7 linked regions of the Kluyveromyces lactis genome follow. The protein of the gene in region 1 purifies or fractionates together with the protein of each later gene. This does not show direct contact. Links are inferred from orthologs where the notes say so. Each region holds a gene or a part of one and is shown in the gene's direction. Other genes may lie near its edges.

The links.
Region 2: the proteins of CBF5 (region 1) and NOP56 purify together in Saccharomyces cerevisiae (affinity purification with mass spectrometry; 6 studies listed by BioGRID). This does not show direct contact. The link is inferred for Kluyveromyces lactis from reciprocal best matches to the Saccharomyces cerevisiae genes CBF5 and NOP56.
Region 3: the proteins of CBF5 (region 1) and NOP1 purify together in Saccharomyces cerevisiae (affinity purification with mass spectrometry; 5 studies listed by BioGRID, with this or other methods). This does not show direct contact. The link is inferred for Kluyveromyces lactis from reciprocal best matches to the Saccharomyces cerevisiae genes CBF5 and NOP1.
Region 4: the proteins of CBF5 (region 1) and UTP10 purify together in Saccharomyces cerevisiae (affinity purification with mass spectrometry; 3 studies listed by BioGRID). This does not show direct contact. The link is inferred for Kluyveromyces lactis from reciprocal best matches to the Saccharomyces cerevisiae genes CBF5 and UTP10.
Region 5: the proteins of CBF5 (region 1) and KRI1 purify together in Saccharomyces cerevisiae (affinity purification with mass spectrometry; 3 studies listed by BioGRID). This does not show direct contact. The link is inferred for Kluyveromyces lactis from reciprocal best matches to the Saccharomyces cerevisiae genes CBF5 and KRI1.
Region 6: the proteins of CBF5 (region 1) and RBP95 purify together in Saccharomyces cerevisiae (affinity purification with mass spectrometry; 3 studies listed by BioGRID). This does not show direct contact. The link is inferred for Kluyveromyces lactis from reciprocal best matches to the Saccharomyces cerevisiae genes CBF5 and RBP95.
Region 7: the proteins of CBF5 (region 1) and NOP4 purify together in Saccharomyces cerevisiae (affinity purification with mass spectrometry, with the first as the bait; 3 studies listed by BioGRID). This does not show direct contact. The link is inferred for Kluyveromyces lactis from reciprocal best matches to the Saccharomyces cerevisiae genes CBF5 and NOP4.

The regions. Positions count from the first base shown.
Region 1 is NC_006040.1:408,154-411,229, forward strand, and holds CBF5 (pseudouridine synthase CBF5), read left to right. Parts: upstream 1-1,151; coding exon 1,152-2,576; downstream 2,577-3,076. Other genes in the region: KLLA0_D04774g (uncharacterized protein), read left to right, coding at 1-693. UniProt on the Saccharomyces cerevisiae protein: Catalytic subunit of H/ACA small nucleolar ribonucleoprotein (H/ACA snoRNP) complex, which catalyzes pseudouridylation of rRNA. This involves the isomerization of uridine such that the ribose is subsequently attached to C5, instead of the normal N1.
Region 2 is NC_006040.1:1,043,767-1,047,118, forward strand, and holds NOP56 (snoRNP complex protein NOP56), read left to right. Parts: upstream 1-1,310; coding exon 1,311-2,852; downstream 2,853-3,352. Other genes in the region: SWI1 (Swi1p), read right to left, coding at 1-761; PBA1 (Pba1p), read right to left, coding at 3,204-3,352. UniProt on the Saccharomyces cerevisiae protein: Required for 60S ribosomal subunit synthesis.
Region 3 is NC_006039.1:400,097-402,928, forward strand, and holds NOP1 (rRNA methyltransferase NOP1), read left to right. Parts: upstream 1-1,324; coding exon 1,325-2,332; downstream 2,333-2,832. Other genes in the region: trans-2-enoyl-CoA reductase (NADPH) TSC13, read right to left, coding at 1-494.
Region 4 is NC_006042.1:1,973,864-1,978,002, forward strand, and holds the start of UTP10 (snoRNA-binding rRNA-processing protein UTP10), read left to right. Parts: upstream 1-1,339; coding exon 1,340-4,139. Other genes in the region: KLLA0_F21164g (uncharacterized protein), read right to left, coding at 1-417. UniProt on the Saccharomyces cerevisiae protein: Involved in nucleolar processing of pre-18S ribosomal RNA. Required for optimal pre-ribosomal RNA transcription by RNA polymerase I together with a subset of U3 proteins required for transcription (t-UTPs). Involved in ribosome biosynthesis.
Region 5 is NC_006041.1:668,701-672,328, reverse strand, and holds KRI1 (Kri1p), read left to right. Parts: upstream 1-1,361; coding exon 1,362-3,128; downstream 3,129-3,628. Other genes in the region: VPS68 (Vps68p), read right to left, coding at 199-729. UniProt on the Saccharomyces cerevisiae protein: Required for 40S ribosome biogenesis. Involved in nucleolar processing of pre-18S ribosomal RNA.
Region 6 is NC_006037.1:956,778-959,587, forward strand, and holds RBP95 (RNA-binding ribosome assembly factor RBP95), read left to right. Parts: upstream 1-1,461; coding exon 1,462-2,310; downstream 2,311-2,810. Other genes in the region: POL4 (DNA-directed DNA polymerase IV), read right to left, coding at 1-21; CTO1 (Cto1p), read right to left, coding at 15-716; KLLA0_A11088g (uncharacterized protein), read left to right, coding at 2,565-2,810.
Region 7 is NC_006040.1:1,003,760-1,007,636, forward strand, and holds NOP4 (mRNA-binding ribosome biosynthesis protein NOP4), read left to right. Parts: upstream 1-1,319; coding exon 1,320-3,377; downstream 3,378-3,877. Other genes in the region: CHL4 (Chl4p), read right to left, coding at 1-858; cyclin-dependent serine/threonine protein kinase SSN3, read right to left, coding at 3,481-3,877. UniProt on the Saccharomyces cerevisiae protein: Required for 60S ribosomal subunit synthesis. Probably involved in the processing of 27S rRNA to produce mature 25S rRNA.

The DNA.
Region 1 (3,076 bases):
GAGGTTATCAAAAAGAAGAAGGAAGACCTTGCATTTTTCAATGAGAAGTTTCAAAAAAGGTTGTTAGCGATGAAACGTGAAATAGATAAAAATGCTGACATGTATCATAATGAACTACAAAGCTACAGGACTAATTACGAGAAAACTTTAAGTAGTGCCTTAAAAGTTACTCTTAAAGCAGAATCTGCGCTTAGTGCCATATACAGCAATAATGTGGATAGATTCGGGTCTACAAACCGGACTTTGAATTATTTTATGAAGAAAAGAGATATGTTCCAAAATATCAGAGACAATATGGTCTCCAACAAGCCCAAACCAGAATACAAACCTGCGATCACCATTACAAGTGTTAGTGATGGCATAGAAAATAAAGACAATAGAAACGAAGAGTTACACTACATATCAGAACAAAAACAAGGTTTTAATGATTCACTCCGTGAGCTTAAAGTAGCCAATGTGAATAGCAACTGTTCCTCAAGGTCGAAACACAACGCTAAACAAATTATACAAAAGCTCCGAGAGTGGAAGCAAAACCAAAACACATCAGAGCTATCGCCAGACAAAGAAGATTCCATATTTTCAACTGGAATTGAGACAGATTATTCAACTTCAAATATCGCACAGTTATCCACTAGGAACTGGGCTAGCGCTTTGAAGAACAACTATAACGCCAAGTACTTGGAATCTATCTGAATGAAAACAGCGTACTAAGTTAACAGAATTTAACCTAACATAATGAACATATTAGCAGCTAGTTTAGTCCATTAAATAAAAATGCAAACTCACTTCCTAGAAGGCTATAAAAACTACTCTCACTTGGCAATGCTATTTCCAATGTCTGTCATATATACTTAAACGTCAAGGTGAATATAATTCATTACCCGGAAATAATTGCTTTTTGAGATATCTGAAAATTTTCTACCTGAAGAAAAAAATTTGATGAAGACGATGAGATGAGATGAGCTTTAACAAGAAAAGTATAGAGTTCTATTAGAAGTAGATTCATCTTACTGGACTAAAAACTGTCACTTTAGTGTAGATTCTGCTTTACGATATTGTTGCTACTATCCTTTTATTGTTTTCTCTCGATATTTGAAGGAGATAGTGTACTGGATTGTTCGTTAGAAAGCTAATAAGTAAGATAGAGATCGATGTCTGACGAATTTGTTATTAAGCCAGAGAGTGTTTCACCATCTAGTAACACTAGTGAGTGGCCTTTATTGTTGAAGGACTATGACAAACTATTAGTCAGAAGTGGTCATTACACACCAATTCCAGCTGGTGCCTCTCCTTTGAAGAGAGATTTGAAGTCATATATCAGTTCTGGTGTCATCAATTTGGACAAACCTTCAAACCCATCTTCTCACGAAGTTGTTGCTTGGATCAAGCGTATCTTGCGTTGCGAAAAAACAGGTCATTCTGGTACTTTAGATCCTAAAGTCACTGGTTGTTTGATCGTCTGTGTTGACAGAGCTACCAGATTGGTCAAGTCTCAACAAGGTGCTGGTAAAGAGTATGTTTGTATCGTTAGATTGCACGATGCCCTTAAGGACGAGAAGGAATTGGGCAGAGGTTTAGAAAATTTGACTGGTGCTTTGTTCCAAAGACCTCCTTTAATTTCTGCTGTTAAGCGTCAATTACGTGTCCGTACCATTTATGACTCCAACTTGATCGAATTTGACAACAAGAGGAACTTGGGTGTTTTCTGGGCTTCCTGTGAAGCTGGTACTTATATGAGAACTTTATGTGTCCATCTTGGTATGCTTTTAGGTGTCGGTGGCCATATGCAAGAGTTGCGTCGTGTTAGATCCGGTGCTTTGTCCGAAAACGATAACTTGGTCACCCTACATGATGTTATGGATGCACAATGGGTATACGATAACACCAGGGATGAATCCTACCTAAGAAAGATCATTCAACCATTAGAAACTCTATTAGTCGGTTACAAAAGAATTGTTGTCAAAGATTCTGCTGTTAACGCTGTTTGTTACGGTGCCAAGTTGATGATTCCAGGTCTACTTCGTTATGAGGAAGGTATTGAATTATATGACGAAGTTGTATTAATCACCACCAAGGGTGAGGCCATTGCAGTTGCCATTGCTCAAATGTCTACTGTCGATTTAGCTACTTGTGACCACGGAGTTGTTGCCAAGGTTAAGAGATGTATCATGGAAAGAGACCTATATCCAAGAAGATGGGGTCTTGGTCCAATTGCCCAAAAGAAAAAACAAATGAAGGCTGACGGTAAGCTAGACAAATATGGCCGTGCCAACGAAAATACTCCAGAGACCTGGAAGAAGACTTACGTTTCATTGGAGAATGCTGAACCAACTACCGCCCCTGCATCCAAATCAGAAGAAAAACCACTGATCAAAGAAGTAGAAAAGAAGGAAGTCGAACAGAAGGAAGAATCAAAGGAAGAATCAAAGACACCAGAAGAAAAGAAGGACAAGAAGGAAAAGAAGGAGAAGAAGGACAAGAAGGAGAAAAAGGAAAAGAAGGAGAAGAAGGAGAAGAAGAGAAAGGCTGACGATGATGAGTCTTCCGAGAAGAAGAAGAAGAAGTCAAAGAAATAAACGACTACAATCTAAGTCCTTCATATCATCGATCGAAATTTCAAAACTGCATAGAGTTTATCATTTAGGTTATGTACACTGTAGAATATTTTTAATCATTGAAAAACGTATTTCGTCACGACTGTTTTTTGTACCCTGTGTCGATGTTGTATATCATTGTATTCGTATATATAAATTTGTAAATTATTTATGCGCGTGTGAAGACACCATTACGTCTTCAATTGAAGTAATGGCAAAAAGTAATGGTAAATGTATGAGGTAGATAGAAGATTTGATAATAATACTTGGAGTTTTTTTTTTTTTGGCAGACATCAATTGTTCGGAACCAAATAGAAGTCGGGAAACTTGCAGATTGGTATGTCTTTTATTTGCATGATGTCATTTGCTCAATAAAAAGGTAAATGAAGGTTAAAATCTATGCAAATGGTTACATTGTGAACAGAAGTCGAGGTGTCACAATGAAACGTCCCGTTTCTTACTTTACCAGTATTAACAATCAT
Region 2 (3,352 bases), about 640 kb from region 1:
ACTTGAGGCGCATGTTGTTGCATTCTCGCCTGTGCTTGCGCTTGTGCTTGTATGTGCGCTTGAGCTTGGGCTTGAGCTTGAGCCTGTGCTTGTGCTTGTGCTTGGGCTTGAGCTTGAGCTTGTGCTTGAGCCTGTGCCTGCGCTTGAGCCTGTGCTTGTTGCTGCTGTTGTCTTAGTTTCTGCTGCTGTAATTGGTTGAATGCCTGCTGTTGTTGCAACATCTGTAGCTTTTGTTGCTGTTGCTGTTGCCTCTGTTGATGCGCAGCAATTATTGCGGCTCTATCCATATACTGAGGGCTCTGTCTACTAGCACTCGCCTGAGCTAAAGACTCATCGGCCATTGTAGGGGATCCACTTGGCACATTTTGCGGCGTTCCACGCTGCGATAACATCTGCTGTAAAGAAGTAGTGCCGGCGGGAGACTGCGTCGGTGCTACATTGGCTGTATTCATAGGAATTGGTCCTGCGGCTGGAGAAAACATGGATTGTGGAGAGATAGAGACTCCACCGTTCTTCATCGACGGAGGTGAATTGACAGTTGAGAATGAATTTCTAGCCAATATAGCCTGGGGCGTTACGCCTGCGTTAACATCTTCCATCGGCCCTAAATTACTATCAGGTATACCTTGCTGGTTGGGTGCGCCTGAGTTATCAAGGAAGGAAAGGTACTCATCACCGTTCGAACCTCCTTGACCGAAAAGCTGGCCATCGCCAGAATTCATTGGATCACTCTCGTCCGGGAACAAAAACTGATCGTCCATCCGTATGTACCAATAAAGTTACCGTTTGACCCTTGATATCAGGGGAGAGAAATCACGCCTAAATAAAACCTAAAACAAGGGAATTATATTCATTCTGAAAGTAGTGATAGTCAAGTGTCAATTGAATTCATTGAATACAATTTCGAGTTTCCTTTCGTTGTTTTGTTTTTGGAAAGACAAGAAAATTCCAGGTCACGTGATTTTGTCAATTATTCTATATCCGGGTAATACATTCGATCACGTGTATAACTTACCCGGCCGCGGCCGGGTAAGTAAAATATATTTCCCATTCTGCTTTTCTTTTTCAAGCTCATCGCTCTTTTTTTTTTGTTTGGAAAATTTTCATTTCGAAGCCAATAAAGAGAGATGAGCTTTCTGACCAGTGAATATATTGTATATTGTGTTATGTGCACAGCGATATTTCAATTAATACTTGTCTGTATTATCTTGAGTTTTGTTCATTCATTCCGAAGTTAGTGTGTGTTGAAGAGTCCAGATCAAAGAGATTTTACGGTAGCGAGGAAACTTTATTGATCAGAGAATTAAATAATGGCTCCTATTGAATATCTTTTGTTCGAAGAACCTACCGGGTATGGTATCTTCAAAGTGAAATTGCAACAGGATGATATCGGATCTCGTTTGAAGGAAGTCCAGCAACAGATCAATGATTTCGGCTCTTTCACTAAGTTAGTTGAGTTGGTTTCTTTTGCTCCTTTCAAAGGTGCTGCTCAAGCTTTGGAAAATGCTAATGATATTTCTGAAGGTTTAGTCTCTGAACATTTGAAAGCTTTGTTGGATTTAAATTTACCAAAGGGTTCTTCTAAGAAGACTGTTACTTTGGCTATTTCTGATAAGAACTTAGGTCCATCCATTAAAGAAGTTTTTCCATTTGTTGATTGTATTTCTAATGAGTTAGCTCAGGATTTGATTCGTGGTGTTAGATTACACGGTGACAAATTATTGAAAGATTTACAACCTGGTGATTTGGAAAGAGCTCAACTTGGTTTGGGTCATGCTTACTCTCGTGCTAAGGTTAAGTTCTCTGTTCAGAAAAACGATAACCATATCATTCAAGCCATTGCTCTCTTGGATCAATTGGATAAGGATATCAACACTTTTGCCATGAGAGTGAAGGAATGGTACGGTTGGCATTTCCCAGAGTTGGCAAAGTTAGTCCCAGACAATTACAAGTTTGCTAAACTCGTTCTATTCATTAAGGATAAGGCATCTTTGAACGAAGAATCCTTGCACGATTTATCGGAAATTTTGGATAACGATGCTGGTATCAGTGAAAGAGTGATCGATAACGCTCGTATCTCTATGGGTCAAGATCTTTCTGAAACTGATATGGAAAACGTTACCATCTTCGCTAAGAGAGTTGTCTCCCTTGTTGAATACAGGAAACAATTATACGATTACCTATGTGAGAAGATGCACACTGTGGCTCCAAACTTGTCCGAATTGATCGGTGAAGTTATCGGTGCTAGATTGATCTCTCATTCTGGTTCTTTGACCAATCTTTCTAAGCAAGCTGCCTCTACTGTCCAAATCTTGGGTGCTGAAAAGGCATTGTTCAGAGCTTTGAAGACTAAAGGTAACACACCAAAGTATGGTTTGATTTACCACAGTGGTTTCATCGCTAAAGCTAGTGCTAAGAACAAGGGTAGAATCTCTAGATATTTGGCTAACAAATGTTCTATGGCTTCTAGAATCGATAATTACTCCGATGAACCATCTAACGTTTTCGGTCAAGTGCTAAAGAAACAAGTTGAACAAAGATTGGAATTCTATGCTTCTGGTACCCCAACTTTGAAGAATGAATCTGCTATCAAGGAAGCCATCGAATTGTACAATAAAGATAAGCCAGCTCACGAAGAAGAAGTGGATACGACTGAAGTCTCCAAGAAGAGAAAGCTAGAAGAATCTAACGATGAAGAAGACTCTGAACAAGAAGAGAAGAAGGAAAAGAAGTCTAAGAAGGACAAGAAGGACAAGAAGGACAAGAAGGAAAAGAAGGAAAAGAAGGAAAAGAAAGAGAAGAAAGAGAAGAAGGATAAGAAGGAAAAGAAGAGTAAGAAAAATAAGGATTAGGTTGTGTCAACTTTTCAATCATTTTCCGAAGATTGATCGACTTTATTATTATTTTTTTTCATCATATTTCAGTTTAAACTCGTCACTTTACATTTAACTTTTCACTTTTACATTATTAAGTCATTCCGGTTTCTCATAATTATAAAGCTCTTAATTGCACCTTTAACGCTCCTACTTGTATCCTAAGACAATAAGGAAAACCTCGTGTCTACAAACATGCAACTCATCATTTAACCATTGTTACATATTACATCTGTATATCACCCAAATCATATTTTAATTAGAATACTAGACAATTATCGTCACTAAAAAACAGAACGGGTGTAATCCCAATATTTGATTAAAGACACGTTAAATATATAACCCGCCTTGAGTTGTGGTACATTCGTCAAGTTTCCAAAGCTTTAAGCATTCCGATACATAGTACTCTGTCTGTGACGGGTACGAGCAAAGTAATTTCGACATTTCATCTACTAAAGCATCAACGGTAGGGAAATTAT
Region 3 (2,832 bases), on another chromosome or scaffold:
GTTTCCAGGGAGAAAGAATGAATGAACAATGTTTCGAATTCTCTCTTTAGATAATGGACCATAATCAGACGGTAGATGAACTTATTGAAGAAATCGTTATATGGAACATTTTTAGAATGAAATTTGTCCCTAACTGTTGCGTTTAAAGACAAAAGGTAAACTAAAGAATGGATCAAGATCGGACCCAAATATTCGATGAAAAACACCAGTCTCCAAGAGATCTGCGGACCCAAATCCTTAACATACCACTCGTTAACTGAATCGAACGTGTTTTTCTTACCAACATCGTTCAATTCAGAGGGCCCAATGGCGACTTGCTTACCTTCTTTCAGATAGCTTAACCTTAACCTGTTAACGCTAATATTGTGATTGCTTTTCGAAATCTGTTGCAAAACAGATTGATATGTCAACGTATTTTCTGTTGGAACTTCCAACTTGACGTCTTTTAAGCTCTTTGAGCGTGATTTAATAAAAATTGAACTGGATGCAGACATAAAGGGACACTTATCTAGGTAATATCTTCAACTGTCGGATTAAAATATACAGCGATAGTTTGGAAAATAGGATCTCAAAACTAAACCAGAAAATTTATCCAGATATACTAATTCAGATTCTGATTGCTATAACGTACAAAAGTCAAAGCTGGTTCCACTTCTCTGATTTTTTATCTGCTTTTATAAAGATACCGATATTCACAACAACAACCAAAAATGATCTCATCTGCATATTTTCGCAATGTTGACTATGAAAAACTTGTATAGAAATCCTTAGTAAACGTACGCATTGTAGCAAGTATCTGGCTCAACATAGCAAAAAAAAATCTTGAAAAGTTGTAGATTCATATGATTATATAATCAATTCATATCACGTGATACAGATGTGACAATAGTCATGTGACTTTAACGTTCATCGTTCTGTACGTACCAAGAGGCACAGAAAGACCAAAGATGAGAACTTTGAAAAAGAAATTTAATATTGTTTTTTCATTCAAAATTTTTCAGCTGAAAAAAAAAAGTTTCGAAAGCTCATCTCATCGAATGTAAAGTAAGAGTTTATTAAGTTGTTCTTGCTTGAAAGAAGTAATCAATTGTTTATAGAATAGTATTGTGTACGTTTTCTGTTCCTATAATCTACCCATTTTAGAAGAGTTTTACAGCCGTCCAGGATTCTGTTTCAAAGTCAACGACAATACCTGTTACTGATTCACAATTTTAATTCTTTTTTTTTCCTTTGTCCAATTTAGAGAGAAGAAGATCAAGAGCAGCAACAGCAGCATAATCATTATATCTCAAGACAGATAATTCCCAACTAGTTAAGAATAATAATGGCATTCCAAGCAGGTTCTAGAGGTGGCAGAGGCGGTTCCCGTGGTGGATTCGGCGGTGGTTCCAGAGGTGGTTCCAGAGGTGGATTTGGCGGTGGCCGTGGTGGATTCGGTGGTTCCCGTGGTGGTTCCAGAGGTGGATTCGGTGGTGGTCGTGGTGGTCCTCGTGGTGGCGCTCGCGGTGGTTCCAGAGGTGGATTTGGTGGTGCCCGTGGTGGTTCCAGAGGTGGTCCTCGTGGTGGTGCTCGTGGTGGTGCTCGTGGTGGTGCCCGTGGTGGTGCTAAGGTTGTTATCGAACCTCATAAGCATGCTGGTGTTTTTATTGCCAGAGGTAAAGAAGATCTTTTGGTCACAAAGAACATCGCTCCAGGTGAATCTGTGTACGGTGAAAAGAGAGTTTCAGTTGAAGAACCTTCCACTGAAGAAGGTGTCCCACCAACTAAGGTGGAATACCGTGTTTGGAATCCTTTCAGATCCAAATTGGCTGCCGGTATCATGGGTGGTTTGGATGAACTATTCATTGCTCCAGGTAAGAAGGTTCTATATCTAGGTGCTGCTTCCGGTACATCTGTGTCCCACGTTTCCGATGTCGTTGGTCCAGAAGGGTTGGTTTACGCTGTTGAGTTCTCTCACAGACCAGGTAGAGAATTGATCTCTATGGCTAAGAAGAGACCAAATGTTATCCCAATTATTGAAGATGCTAGACATCCACAAAAATACAGAATGCTTATCGGTATGGTTGACGCCGTCTTCGCAGATGTTGCTCAACCTGATCAAGCCCGTATTATTGCTTTGAACTCTCATATGTTCTTGAAGGATCAAGGTGGTGTCGTTATCTCTATCAAGGCTAACTGTATCGATTCTACTGTTGATGCTGAAACTGTGTTCGCTAGAGAAGTTCAAAAATTGAGAGAAGAAAAGATTAAGCCTTTGGAACAATTGACTTTGGAACCTTATGAAAGAGACCATTGTATCGTTATCGGTAAATACATGAGAAGTGGATTATAAGAGCTGCTAAAGAAATATTGATATTTTGAAACCAATGCTAGAGTATGCCTACTTGGTTCATGATTCCTTCTATTAATCTTTTTTTTTTGGCTTCTAATCTTTTTTTGCTTACTTTTTAGTTTTAAAAACCTTCATTCCAATACAATCATTAACACTATAATATTATTTGAAATTTTGCATCTCATTGATTCGTGATAAAGTTCTACAAACTAGAAAAGTCTCCACTTCGTCTTCACTTGTATTTTGTCACTCTGTGTGTTTCTTTTACTTACAGTCCAGGTCCTTCGCCTGTTCAAAGGAGATCGACTAACTGACGGGAAAAGAATAGAAGAAGATTTCAAAACCTTGTTCATCAACTTGACAATACAAAAGAACCCATTTTCACAATAACGGTATTAATACTCGAACACTCTTAACCTTATTTTGTACATTTAATTTGTAGATATATTATTATTATTATCACATACTATATATAACTTATATATATCAATAACAACCAT
Region 4 (4,139 bases), on another chromosome or scaffold:
AAGTTTCTTCAACGAACCGAAAAGATTGGCACGAGGAGAACTCATAGCGTGATGTCTGGGCCTTCTGTCCTCCACGGTAATAGAAAGCTTGCCGTTATCCTGATAGTTTCTCAAAGTGGAGGAAACGTTCATCAAGACCAAGATTGGGTTACCTGTGGAATTCACACCCTCACATAAATCAGAAGATACATAGTATTCTGGGAAAGTCACCGGAGTCTTTCCATCCTTCAAAGTAGAAACATGAACCAAGTCACCATACTTAACAACACCTCTAGCAACCTCAGCAGCGTATTCACGAGTTAGGTTGAACTCTTTCTCCTTATGAGAGGACTCTCTCAATTTCTTATCGCACCCTTCGCGTGCAGAAACGGAATCTAAAGCTAAAGCCAAAGATAACAACAAAGTACTACACTTCATGACTGAATTATTAATGGCTCAATAACTGATGTCGTTATTTGGATAAACAATCTCTCCGCAAGTTGTAACCCCTAAGCTCATCGCTATTCAATCTTGATAGAAGGTTCCTTAAACCTGTCGTTGCCTATATATAAAATAAACGGTACAAAATTTATAATGCGGTAAATTACATAATGCAAACTAAGGTAAGGAAGGTGCTCAGCCTCAAACTTCCGAAAAAGTAGTTTGTTTACCAGAAGAAAACATTTTTGCAGTTCACCCAAGCCTTTGCATTGAGATTGGTTCGGACGAACCATCCGCCTAGATCTCGGATCTAAGTTTAATCGCAGAGACATCGCCGCATAACCACATCGCTCCAGCCAGGTGTGTTTTTCTTTTGTTCTTATATGAGCCGGTCCTTTGCTGAAAAGCCAGTCTGAACGCAGGCCCAACGCACACAACTCACACACACCCTCAAATGGAAACGTTGAGGCATTGCTAAGTAGATAGCTGCTATGAGCCTTGTTTATGCCAAACATGCTTATACGGTTGGCTGAGATCCGAAATTCCTCAGAAACTAGCCATTACTTGTAGTGTGACCTTGCACGGCACATGATGTATTGAAACAACTCTTAAGTCTGTATGTACTTCAATAGATCCGAAAGCAGGTGGAAACTGACCAGTAGCTTGCATATTGAGCTACGGGGAGACTTGACCCAAGTTTATGGTATCACTCCATTTTCATACACGTGACCATAAATGAATTTCTTTTCACCGCAGCATGAACAAATCGAAAATTTTAAAGAGTGAAAGAAAAAAAAAGTAGCGATGAGATGAGATGAGATGAGGTTCAAATCGTTGGCTTTGCAATCATCTCCTGGCGATAGATTTTTGATCAGGTTCGACTTGCTAGTACTCCAGGCAACGGCAGAGACGATATAGAATGTCATCTTTACGTGATCAATTAGCGCAGGTAGCGCAGAATAACGCTACTGTTGCTCTTGATAGAAAGAGAAGACAAAAGTTACATTCTGCGTCTTTGGTTTACAATCCGAAGACTGCTGCTACTCAGGACTATGAGTATATATACGATACAGCGTTGGAATCGTTTCATACTTTGGTGAGTTTGGACTTGAGGTTCAAAGTTTTCACTAATTCCTTATTCAGTGCATCTTCCGTGACCATTGATAGAAACGTTCAAACAAAGGATCAGATTAGAGATTTGGATAACGCAGTTAATGCGTATTTGATGTTGATTTCGCCGAAATGGCATCTAACTCCAGCTTTGCATGCTACGGAATGGTTGATTCGTAGGTTCCAAATTCATATCCATAACGCCGAAATGCTTCTTCTATCTACTTTGAACCAATACCAAACGCCGGTGTTCAAAAGGATCCTCAATATCGTTAAGCTACCACCTTTGTTCAACCCATTTACCAATTTTGTCAGAAACGATAAGAATCCAACCGATTTGACGTTGATCAAATTGTTTAACGATATGGACTTCTTGAAGCTTTATTCAAATTATCTGTCCAAGATTATCAAGCAAAAAGTTACCTATACGAATCAACTGCTATTTACCACATGTTGTTTCATTAACGTGATCGCTTTCAATGCGAACGATGAAGATAAGTTAAATAAATTGGTCCCATTGATTTTGGAAATTTCCGCAAAACTTTTGGCATCGGATTCAAGCGATTGTCAAATGGCTGCTCATACTATGCTCGCGGTACTTGCCACCGCATTGCCTTTGAACAAAAGCATTATCATTGCGGCTACGGAAACTATCTTGGCCAATTTAAAGGAAGACGATGCTAGAAAAAAAGCTCTCGTCACAATCTCAAAACTTTTCCAAACCTTGAAAGGTGTAGGTAATGTGGATCAATTACCGGTCAAGATCTATAAACTCGTTGATAATTCTTTCCCATTCGAATATCTACTACAGTTCCTGAGTAATGAAAACAAATATTCCTCAGATAAATTTTTCACTGCATACATTAGGTCTGTCATCAGATATGATCATGATAAATTGAGTCAAATTGTCAAAATCTTAAGGAAGATTAAGTTGGAAAAATACGAAGTTAGATTTATCATCACTGATTTGATACATTTATCTGAAGTTCTAGAGGACAAGTCACAATTAATCGATGTTTTTGAATACTTCATTTCCATTAACGAGGGACTAGTTTTGAAATGTCTTCAAGCACTAAACCTGACCGGAGAAGTTTTCGAAATAAGATTGACAACTTCATTATTTTCCGTCAAGAACAGTGCGGAACAATCTGGTGAAGATATCATTAAAGTTCTAGATGATGCTAAAGCATCAACCGCGAATGGTTCAGCTGTTCCATTTAAAGATTTCATGACCAAAAACTCAGAGTTCATCTCCACTAAAGCGGAGTCTATGCTTCTTGTTAAAGATGAAAAGTTTGTCAAGCTGTTGTCATTATTTGTGGAAGCTGTAAGTAAAGGATATCAACCAGGTCTATTTTTATCCTCCTTCTTCACTACTTTAGAGAGCAGGATAACGTTTGTGCTCAGAATCATCGTATCCCCTGGTTCGCCTGTTGCTCTCAGATTGATTTCACTAACACAGTTAAGCAAATTCATCAATGGTATAGATGAGCAAACGGATCTTTTCTCTTTGGTACCTATTCTAGTGACAGCATTGATGGATATTTCTAGATCTGTTCGTTCCAACACGAAAAAGGTTCTACAACAGATAGCCAAGAGACCTTTCACAGCAAAGTATTTCCTATCTAACGTACTCTACGGAGAGAATTTAAAGGTGCCAATGTTAAGTCCGAAAGATAGCAAGTTTTGGTTGACCAACTTTTTAAGCGATTACATCGTTGAAAGTACAGATATTTCATCCCTCGTCATTCCATCCAAAAATGACATGGTATATATGCTGTTTTGGTGCAACCAGGCACTGCATCTTCCTCTCGCCTATTCGAAGACTATAATGTTAAAGCTCTTGACCGCTGTGCCACAATATGCTTTTACATATTCAAAGGTGTTCGAACAATTTATGGCCACATACATCACGGAAAGAAGTTCCTGGGAAACGAAGTGCATCAAAAATAAAACCAATTTCAAAGACTTCGAAACTGCGGTATGTGCCATTGTTGCACCAAAAGAAAAAAACAGTTTCGCGATAGATTTTTTGATTAACTGTTTGGAATCAGAATATGAACAACTTTCGAATATCATGGCAGACAGAATTTTATCTTTGTATCCAACATTGAAATTCCCAAACCAATTAAAAATTGTTCAGAGTATAATAGACTCCTCAGTTGACAAAGAACTATCATATGATGGTCTAGAAACCCTTCAAAGTCTTCCATTAACTGCAGATATTTTTGTCTCTGTGTTGAAAAGTAATACCATAAACAGCGAAGATCAAACAGATTTGACTAAACGTAGAAGAAGAAGATCGTCTACGGTTAACAAGTCCGCCCTACAGAAACAAGATATTTCTCAAATTGCCGAAGCCCACCTAAAGAAAATGACTATTATTCTGGAGACTTTGGATAAATTGAAGGTAAAGAGTAACGAAAATCTATTGAATGCCTTATTCAACCTTTTGTCCGACTTGGAAACTTTAGACCATGATGGTGGTTTGCCTGTACTTTACGCTCAGGAAACTCTGTCCTCTTGTCTTTTGAACACTATTTCTTCTCTAAAATCTAACAACGGAAGTATGAAATTACCCTCTATTAGAGCAGATATACTAGTCGCTG
Region 5 (3,628 bases), on another chromosome or scaffold:
TAATTGTGTTCCAGAGATAATAAAATGAGACATGTACAACTCATAGAGGGGCTGTTGAGTCATAGGAATAATTGACCGTTTCTAATACGTTTTAAAATTGGGAAGGTATTTATACGTATACATGCAGAAGGCTATATCTGTACACTGTTCTTAAATACGGCAATCCAATATGATACTTCACGAAGTTTCATTGACACATCATAGAGTCAATGAATAGTTATATTCATCCTCCACATTTTGTCCAATCCATAACATGGTGCAACTTAGAAGAATAGCCAGGTTTGCAAGCACATTGTTAATTCCCATTCCTAAGGTTGGATAGGAGGTATAATCCTTCAATAAAAACTTAACAATCAAAACGACCAAAGAACCGGAAATGCCGCTTGCTAACAGTGAAAATCCTAGGAAAAGTACTACTCTGGCCTGCCATGCAGTAGATTGAGATCCGGTGAACGTTCCTGAGGATAAAGCGTCTTGTAGCAATCTATTTTTTTCGATAGAACTCACAATTGCCATCCCAAGCACACTGCATAGCATTGGCACCCAGTCAATAAATGAAATGTGCAAATCTGAACCATTTGCATGCTTGGAGTACAACACACAATCTAAGAAGGACCAGAGACCCGCACCGTATAAGGCACCAGCTACATAAACGCACACCTTTTTGGCCGATACCGAAGTTGGCAACTTGAAGGGCAAACGAAACAGTCTTTCATGTGAGGTGTCCATTGTATTAGGCGTGTAAGCTGTTCAATCTAAAAAATAACCGTTGTATTTACCCTGTAAGTTAAAACAAGATGTTCAGCAACAAATAGAGCCAGCAGTCCCGTTGACTTTTACTTTAGTACCTTTAAATATATTCTTCTTTAAAGCTCACACTTGTTGGATTTCCTTTATTTTCCTATGAAATAATATGGGAGAATATCATGCAGATACAAATAATACGTTGCAGATTCAGCTTGCAGGTGAGTAAACGACGATTGTGTGATTTCTAACTGAGTACTAAACCCAACAATTATCTGTGGGAAGCCCATATTACCGTTTTTGAGGCTTGCCTACATCTTGCGCCTTCGAAAGACGTCCGCGCACAGACTACAAACGGTATAACCAGGACCTGTTTCTCTGCGTTAGCGGTCACGTGTTTGAATTTCTTTTTCATCATGTTCTGATCGAAAACCATGGAGCGAAAGTTTTACAAACTGAAGCCCATCGCATCTCATCGAATCTGTATCAATGAGAAAGAGGAAAGATTAGCATCAAGGGAGGCTTTCATTGCTATTTAACTTGGGCAATCGTATCCTGTTGATTATTTTTCCTCAAAGAACAGTTTAACATAAGTGAACCAAGTTTCTTATACATAAATGCCTAGAAAGAAATCTGCTGCCAAGAAGGCTAGAGAAGCCATCAAGAAGCAAGAGTCAGTTGCAGTGAAGGGCAGTTCAACGAAGGTTCCAACTACCGACGTTGAAGGCAAGAATACCGAGGTCATAAGTGTGAAAACTGGGTCAAAGCATGATGTCACTGCTTCTAAAGAGGTTCCTGCTGAAGTAGACGATGACGATGAAGATAGTTCGACCTCAGAAGAAGAAGATGATTATGGTGAATTGATCACTGAAGAAGTAGAAGAAGGTATTCAAAAAGTCTTAGATGCTATTAAAAATAATGAGACTGATAAACTATTGAACCCGGGAGTGAAATTTTTCGAAGAACCCGAAAAGGCAGTTGAAAAATTGGCAAAGACTGAGAAACATAAACCCGTCTATTTGAAAGATTATCATAGAATGAATCTTTTAAATGGTAACGTTAATGCCGATGATGATGAGGATTTGGAATTTGAAACGGTGGATGGTAAACAGTCTTTTGCTTCGCATCAAAGAGAAGAGAGAAACCAACTTTTGAGTGAGATCAAGGATGCGTTCAATGGCGATGACGATGCAGAAGAAGGAGACGAAGAAGAAGACGGCTTCTTGAAGAAGAAGGAGCCACAAAATAAAAGGGAATCCGAAGTCAAATTACCGAATCCAAAAGTTGATGACGAAAAGTTTTTGGAGGAGTTTGTTAACCAACAGGCGTGGATTCCAAAGAAAGGCGATAAAGTGATTAATTTGGACCGTCGTGGTACCGACATCGAAGAAGATGAGGACTTTGACGATGCTGTCGAGCAATTTGAAAATGCTTATAATTTCCGTTACGAGGATCCAAATGCTGCAGAAATTGTTTCTTATGCACGTACACAAGCTACACTCAGAAGATCTGCAACCTCATCTCGTAGAAGAAAGAGAGATGAGGAAAAGGCTATTAAGGATAAAGAGGAAGAAGAGAAGCAAAAGGCAGTCCAAAAGAAAAAGAAGGAAAAGGTTAACCAACTTACTGATGTTTTAGAGCAAGTAAAGAAAGAATATGGTGCTGATATCAAAGAAGAGCATGTCAAAGCCTTAACCGATACCTTAATAAACGGAAACTTCGAAGATGGGAAATGGGATGAAGTCATCGGTACCATCTTTAACGACGAATTCTACAACCAGGAAGATAAACCAACATGGGATGAGAATGACGATATCATGGGAGAGTTTTATGCTGAACAGGAAACCGAGGATCATGCGGAAGACGATGAGACCTTGGCATCAGACTCTGGAGAGCCAAAAAAGAAGAAATCAAAGAAGGACAAGATACAAGAGAAGAGAGACAAAAAAAAAGATAAGAAGCAGTTACATGAGATGGTAGAAAAAGCAGTCGACGAACGTAAGGTAGACATCATAGAGCAGGTGGAAGAAGAAAGAGGACGTTCGACAGAGAAAAATTCTGAAGTTAAGTTTAGATACCGTGAAGTGTCTCCAGAATCATTCGGATTGACTACGCGAGAAATATTCACAGCTGATGACGCCGATCTAAATGAGTTTATCGGCTTGAAGAAGTTTGCACCATATAGACCAAAAGAACTGACGTCAAAGGATAGAAGAAAGGTTACTAAGAGCAGGCGACTAAGGGAATGGAGAAAGAAAGTTTTCAATACCGAAGAAGGCCTCACCGGTGATGAATTAGCAATTCCTCTGAACGACGGTGAAGCTCATCAAACCTCTAAAGAAAAGGAAAGATTGAAGAATAAGAAGAGAAAGAGAAGAGATTAAAGATTAACTTATTCAGCATTATTTAGTTAACTTACATATAAATATTATTGTAATCATCAAATTCCATCCTAATGTTGCTGCCGAGAGGAAATTAAACTTGGTTACAGTATCCTTTCTTGCCACATATTTGCATTATTCTTTGTCCTTGTATACTGTGCTAAGATTTCTGCCATACTAATTCTTTATTTATATTACCCTGCCAAACACGAACCAAATCTTTGAAAGGGAAAACGCGTAACTTATTCATAATCTTCTGAAGAGAGGATATGAGCTTTGTGAATGGCAAAACTGATATTCAATGGAGGATAACCAAGAACTGGGTTATCTTCGGCAGAAGGAGTCAATAAACAGAAGCTAAAGAAAACTGACACAATGACCAGTACGTTACGATGTTTTTCCGAAACTATTTATTTAGGTTCAGTCTTGTTCCCATTACTAACACTTTCAATAAAACTAATCACCACTCCTCCTTTATCCAGCTTATCATCCATATAATGAAT
Region 6 (2,810 bases), on another chromosome or scaffold:
GAACTTATGACCGTTTAACATTTTACCTCATCGAACCTTTGAATAGTAGGAACATCTATATCCAAATGCTTCAAGCGATCGCCAATAATGTATCCATCTACTTCTTTTGCCAGAATACAAGGCAAATCGCCAAAACTATCTCCAATATAAGTTATGCTCTGGTCCCCTTGCACTTTGTCTAAATCGCAAATCTCTTTCAACATCTCGTACTTGTCCCAACCGGTCAATATTTGCTTTGTAAATTGTCCGCTGTAAACTTCCCCATCACGTGATTTTAATTCGTTACAGTAGATATCCGATTTGGAAATACCCGTTAGGTCGTGTATGAGGTCCTTGGACCAGTTCAACGAAAGCACGTACGTCTTGTTATACTGCTGCATCAGCTCCTGTAATCCAGGTCTGATATCTACTTTTTCCTTAACGAGCTGCAGGAGATCTTTGATCACCACATCTTTAAAATGATCCTGCAATTCTAGTTCGTTGATTGAACTTAGCTCACACCTTCTGCTTGCACGTTCATAATCACAAACCACTTTCCAAGCATCAGGTGCCAAATTCTCTGGTTTTGGAATATAGCATTCCTCGTATATCTTGGTATAATGAGTCCATGCGACAGGTACTGATTTCAAATTGTAAACAGATTGCCCAATGATACTGGTGGTATCACTAGTGGTGATAGTGCCATCAAAATCAAGTACAAGAATCCGTTTCAACATAATTTTTTCTTAACACAACTCCGACCAGCCAATGTTTTATCTAGCGTGAAGGAACTGGTCTGCCATACTTGCCGAGTTTCCATTCAAGAGTTCAAGATTTAATGTGAAAGAACGATTTCATTTTGTTTGGGATTTAAACAAAGGCTATTCCTTAGTGGAGAAAAAAACTATTGAAAGGACAAGAATAGAGAGAGGTCTACATTGGGAAATTCTAAGAACACATTAAATATAATAAAAAGAATGTAATCAAGCTTCTATATTAAGTCCCCGTAGTAGTATCGTAGGGACCCAACTCAAACTGTTGATTTTGGTATTTCAGTCTATGCTCAGGCCCAATTATGATTCTCGAGGACAGAAATACTAACCGTTGAATAAAACAAGAGAAGAAAATCCTCTCAAGTCCAACACAGTAGTCTGAACCAAACGATGAGACCCAGCCGAGCAATAAGTTTATGATTGGTAGACTAAAAACGAAATCATATGTCAGAAAATATCATTCGAGATGAGAATATAAAGTGGTACATACGAGTTCAAAGTTCATTGAGTCCATTTGAATCTTTTTTCCCATAGTAAATAAAGTATTTCTTTTTGAAAAACTGAGCTGAAAATTTGGTGAAAAGAAGAGCTTTAGATGAGATGAGATGAGATGAGATAGTATACAGAGTATATCTGAACTGTAGAAACTATTACTGGCTCTGTTAATATCATAGAAATATAGCAACACAGCAATAAACAATATATTAAGATGTCGGAACACGTACCTGCTTGGAAAAGGTTCCAGATCAAGAAGTCAGAGGAAGGGAATCAGATCGATGATGAGCTAGACTCACTCATTGTGTCTACACATCTTTCCAACGGTTCACTTTCGAAGAAAGAGAAGAGAAGGATTATTAGAGGTGGCAATGCGGATAGTAAAAGCACTGGCAACAAAGTTGCAAAAAAGAGTAAAGACAGGAAAAGAGAGAAATTGGCCAAAGAGGATAGACTTAAGAAGAAGGAAACTGTGTTGAAGGATCAATTGAGGTATTTGATCGATTTCTATACATTGAAGTTGGAAGTGGAGCTGCCGGAAGCCGTGAAAGAGCTTCCTAGTGTAAAGGAAAACGTATCAATTATATCACCCTCTGAGGAATTAGCTGACAAAAACGTAGTAAGAGATGTATGGAAGTTCAGTAAACAGAAACAGAATTGGCTCATCAAACATTTCGTTATCACTGATGAGATCCCATCAGCATTCAACCCGCTATTAGTGAGATATTTCCAGGACTTACAGGGTGGTTCGAAGGCTCAGCTACAAGAAAGTTGTTTGGATGTTATCGAGAAGCAAAATAAATATCTAGAGCAGCAGAAAGAGGAAATGGCTAAGATTGTGCTGGGAGAAGCTACAGAAGCATCCAAAGATCAAGAGAAACAGAGCGCCGATGATGAGTCCAAGGATAAAGATGTCAAAACAGAAATGTCCAAAAAGTCTGACGAAAGTGAAGAGGATACAGCTAATAAAATAAACGAGATCCTACCACCTAGCCAAGAGCTACTGGAAAGAGTACGTTCCATGCTCGATACCTGGGGTGTTAAATATGAACTAAATAGCTGAATAGTGCGTGTAACTACTTTTTATCATTCAATAAAAGAAATGGTCACGTGATATTATCATCACTACCGCTCGGCGCCTTTTTCCCATTATCAGAAAAGGTTGAGTGATGGATGGATACATCTTAGAAGCATCATGACAATAGCAATGATCACGACGAGCGAATGCAGTACTTTCATTGACCTGGAACCAAGCCGGGCCATTGCAATTCCTTACAGTATTCATGCAATCAAATTACAGGGATAGTATACATTGTAATGAATCGAAATATCGAGACTGTAAATGAAGAAGGATCTTTTGTGGTTGATCTTCTGCGAAAGCCCTTTAAACTCCCGTCACGGTACGATGATCTCCCGTGGGAATCAATCGAGGAGTCAAAACTGACTGAAACAGATATATTGGATCGAAAACATGTTTTTCCGCTGCTCAAAGTAATGCCGATACGTCTCTTCACAACTGACATTGAACGAAGTGAAATGTTCGAATCTTTGAAACAATACTGT
Region 7 (3,877 bases), about 600 kb from region 1:
TCGTCTGGTCTGGTCCTTAATTAAAGAATCTGACAGGGTATGATTTATTGGATGATCTTTTGGTTCTATTAGTGGAGATGGCTCTAGTGCATCCTTGCCCGAATATACGGACCAAATCCCATACCCTGTAGTATTTACAGACGGCAGCCCTAGAGAAAGGTTTAATTCGTGTAATGACGTGGTTGGTTTCCTGCTAATTCTTTCCAACCTGATTGTCTTGGAATGTAGCTTTGAGAATGCCAGTAATATAAGTTGTGAGTGAGTATCAGACTGCAACGAGTGGAAGATAATCGAGTGTCCCGGCATAATAGCAAAGTAGAACGGTTTGTGTGTATTGATAATAAGGTCGCCAGTTGATTCGAACAACTGAACTCGGCATATGTACATACTTAAATCATCGTTTTCCTCAATGTTAACATCCAATTCGTAAAGTCGTTTAAACTGTTCGCGCATACCATTGATAAGCTCATTCGGCTCCACATTTACGATAAATTGCTTTCCATCTCTATCCAAACATCTGGACGCTACCCATTGGTTAGTTGAAGTGTCACATAAAACAGACCAGATATCCAGTTGTGATAACTGTTCTCGAGATAAAGAAGGCCACCAACTCGTGACAGCCATATTAGCAATATTCCGTACCCCATGTTTTTTCACCAATTCAACTAAATTATCCGAGACCAGCTGTGAATCATTAATGGCATGTGTATCAAGCCAGGTAGTGATCAGTTTCACTATTGCCTGTGCACCGAGCCTAGCAAGTTTATTCTTTGTAACTGTAATATCTACATTATTATTGTCATTTCGAAGCGTGCGTTCCATCTTGGCCGTCCCAATAATATGCTGTTCACCGTCCATATAACACCATCATAAAAAGAACATAAGGATTAAGGGTCATCAAACCTTTCCATAGTTTCAGATTATAGTCGATGTTAAAATTCCATGCATTTTATATAGTATTGATTCTGACAAGAAAGTGAGAACAATCAACTAAATTGGTCTAACTGTCGTATAAGATTGACAGAATATCTTCATAGAACCAGGAAAGTTGTATTGCATCGGAGAACAGAGGTATTGAACAGCCGTATATGCCAGGAATATCCACACGTGATCTGTTCATCTCTTTAAATCTTACAGCTTTTCAGTCCGCTTGATTTCTTTTTGTCAAAAAATTTTAAAGCTCATCTCATCTCATCGCCCAAGAACCATTAGTATTGATATCTAGTATATATATAGTAGAAGGTTAATGAACACATTTATATACTTATTTTGTTAGCGTCTACATCAAACGACGCAGATTTGTGCTTAATATATCTGTGATGAGTGATAAGAAAGTTATTAAGGATGAAGGTCTTGATCTGAAGACGTTATTTGTTCGTGGTGTGCCGTTTGAGTCTACCGATGAAGAATTCGGTAACTTCTTCTCCCAATTCTCTCCTATCAAGCATGCTGTTATTGTCAAAGATGGTGAGGGTGCAAGCAGAGGATTTGGTTTTGTTAGTTTTGCAGTTGAAGATGATACTAAGACTGCTTTGAATCAGGCTAGAAAGACGAAGTTTATGGGACGTTTGTTGAGAATCGATATTGCCAAAAGAAGAGAACGTTCCCGTGGTAAAAAGGATGCGGATGAGGTATCATCAGCACCTTCCGTAGATAATGTTAAAGATGAGGAGGAAAGCAAACCCGAAGATGATAATGATTTAATGAAGGGTAAACCGAAATTAATTATCAGAAATATGCCATGGTCCTGTCGTGATCCGACGAAACTGAAGAAAATCTTCGGATTGTACGGTACCGTTGTTGAAGCTACGATCCCAAGGAAGAGAGACGGTAGATTATGTGGGTTTGCTTTTGTTACAATGAACAGGATCTCTAACTGTAAGGCTGCTATAGAAGGCACTAAGGATTTGAAGATCGATGGCAGGAAAGTGGCTGTTGATTTTGCAATTCAAAAGAACAGATGGGAGGACTATAAGAACGAACATAAGGAACTGGAAGCGTCTGATGAAGATGAGGAAGAAGAAGAAGAAGATGATGATGATGATGAGGATGATGGTTCTGATTCGGGTGAAGAGGACGCTGACAATCAGGACGACAAAGAAAAAGAAGAAAAAAGTGACATCGTCTTGGATTCTGATGAAGAAATCAGCGAAGAGGAGGAAACACCAGAACAGGATACCGTAAAGAAGAACAGAAAGGAAGATTTCTCTATTTTTGTGCGTAATGTTCCATACGATGCCACTCAAGAATCCTTAGAACGTCATTTCGGCGTGTTCGGCCCAGTAAAATACGCTTTGCCAGTGATTGATAAAGAAACTGGTTTGGCGAAGGGTACTGCTTTCGTTGCATTCAGAAGCGAAGATGCTTACAACGACTGTCTAAATAATGCTCCTGCTACAGGAAGTACATCCCTTCTAATAAGTGATGATGTTTCCCCAGAGTATGTTTATGAGGGTCGTGTTCTTGCAATTTCTCCAACTCTTGATAGAGAATCTGCTGGAAGAATGTTTGAGAGAAATGCCGAGAAGAGAAAAGAAGTTCTTGGTAAGGCACCAGGTGAAAAGGACAGACGTAATCTATATTTGTTAAATGAAGGTAGAATTGTTGCAGGTTCAAAGCTTTCACAGTTGTTAACTCCTGCTGATATGGAAGTCAGAGAAAAATCTTACAAGTTAAGAGTCGAACAATTGAAGAAGAATCCAACGTTACATCTTTCGATGACTAGATTGGCTATCAGAAATATTCCAAGAGCAATGACTGAGAAGGGTCTAAAGGCGCTAGCTCGTAAAGCTGTAGTAGAGTTCGCCAAAGAAGTTAACGAAAACAAGAGACACGCATTGAATAAAGAAGAAATCGTCAGATCTACTAAGGAAAAGTACAAGTTCATGTCTGAAGAAGAAATCGAAGCTCAAAAGAAGAAGGACAAGAAACAAGGTATTGTTAGACAATCTAAAATTATCATGGAAATTAAAGGATCTAGCGGTGGTAGAAGTAGAGGGTATGGTTTTGTTGAATTCAGGGATCATAAAGCTGCGCTAATGTGTCTAAGATGGTTAAATGCTCATGAAGTCAGTAGGGACGAAATCTTAGAAGGACTTACGGATGATGAAAAGAAACAGCTTGATGCAGACAGTTTCAAAAAAAGAAGACTGGTGGTCGAATTTGCTATCGAAAACGCTAACGTTGTGAAGAGAAGAAGAGAAAAGGTCAAAGAATCTAGATTGATATCTTTCAAGAGAAAAAGAGATGATGAAGAGAATAAAGAAGAAGAAAAAGTGGCTCAACCAGTAGAAGAGGAAACAAAATCTGGTCTAAGTAATAATATTAAACAGATTATTGGATCTAAACGTAGAAGAAAGAACAAGGGCCGTTCTTGAATGTAAACAATAGTCAAAGGCAAAAATTCAAAGCATTCCGAAGCAATGAAGTTTCTAGGATATAAAATCTGTATATTAAATAACATGCATTTCAATTATAGAATCATTTTCTCTTTTTCCGTGCTGATCCTCCGGTTGCAGTATTGCTTGTGGGGTTGTTTCCATTACCAGACACAGCAGCTGCAGCGGCAGCTGCCGCTGCTGCTGCCAAGATACGTTTGTTTACACCTAATCCGTTCATGTTCCCATTCTTATTATTATTGTTACCATGCATTGGTTGTTTTTGAGAGTGATTAGCTTGATTATTATCATTGCCGACATTCGTAATGTCGTTATCGTTTGTGTGAATGCGCCTTGGTGGGTATTTGTAGTTGAGACCCTCGAACACATTTTCACAGACAGGAGGGTCGCCGTTGGTGAAATAGACATGGTCTAAAGCGTCGATTGCATCGATTCTCTTGATAGGATCATACTGCAATAGACGGTAAAGAATGTCTAAA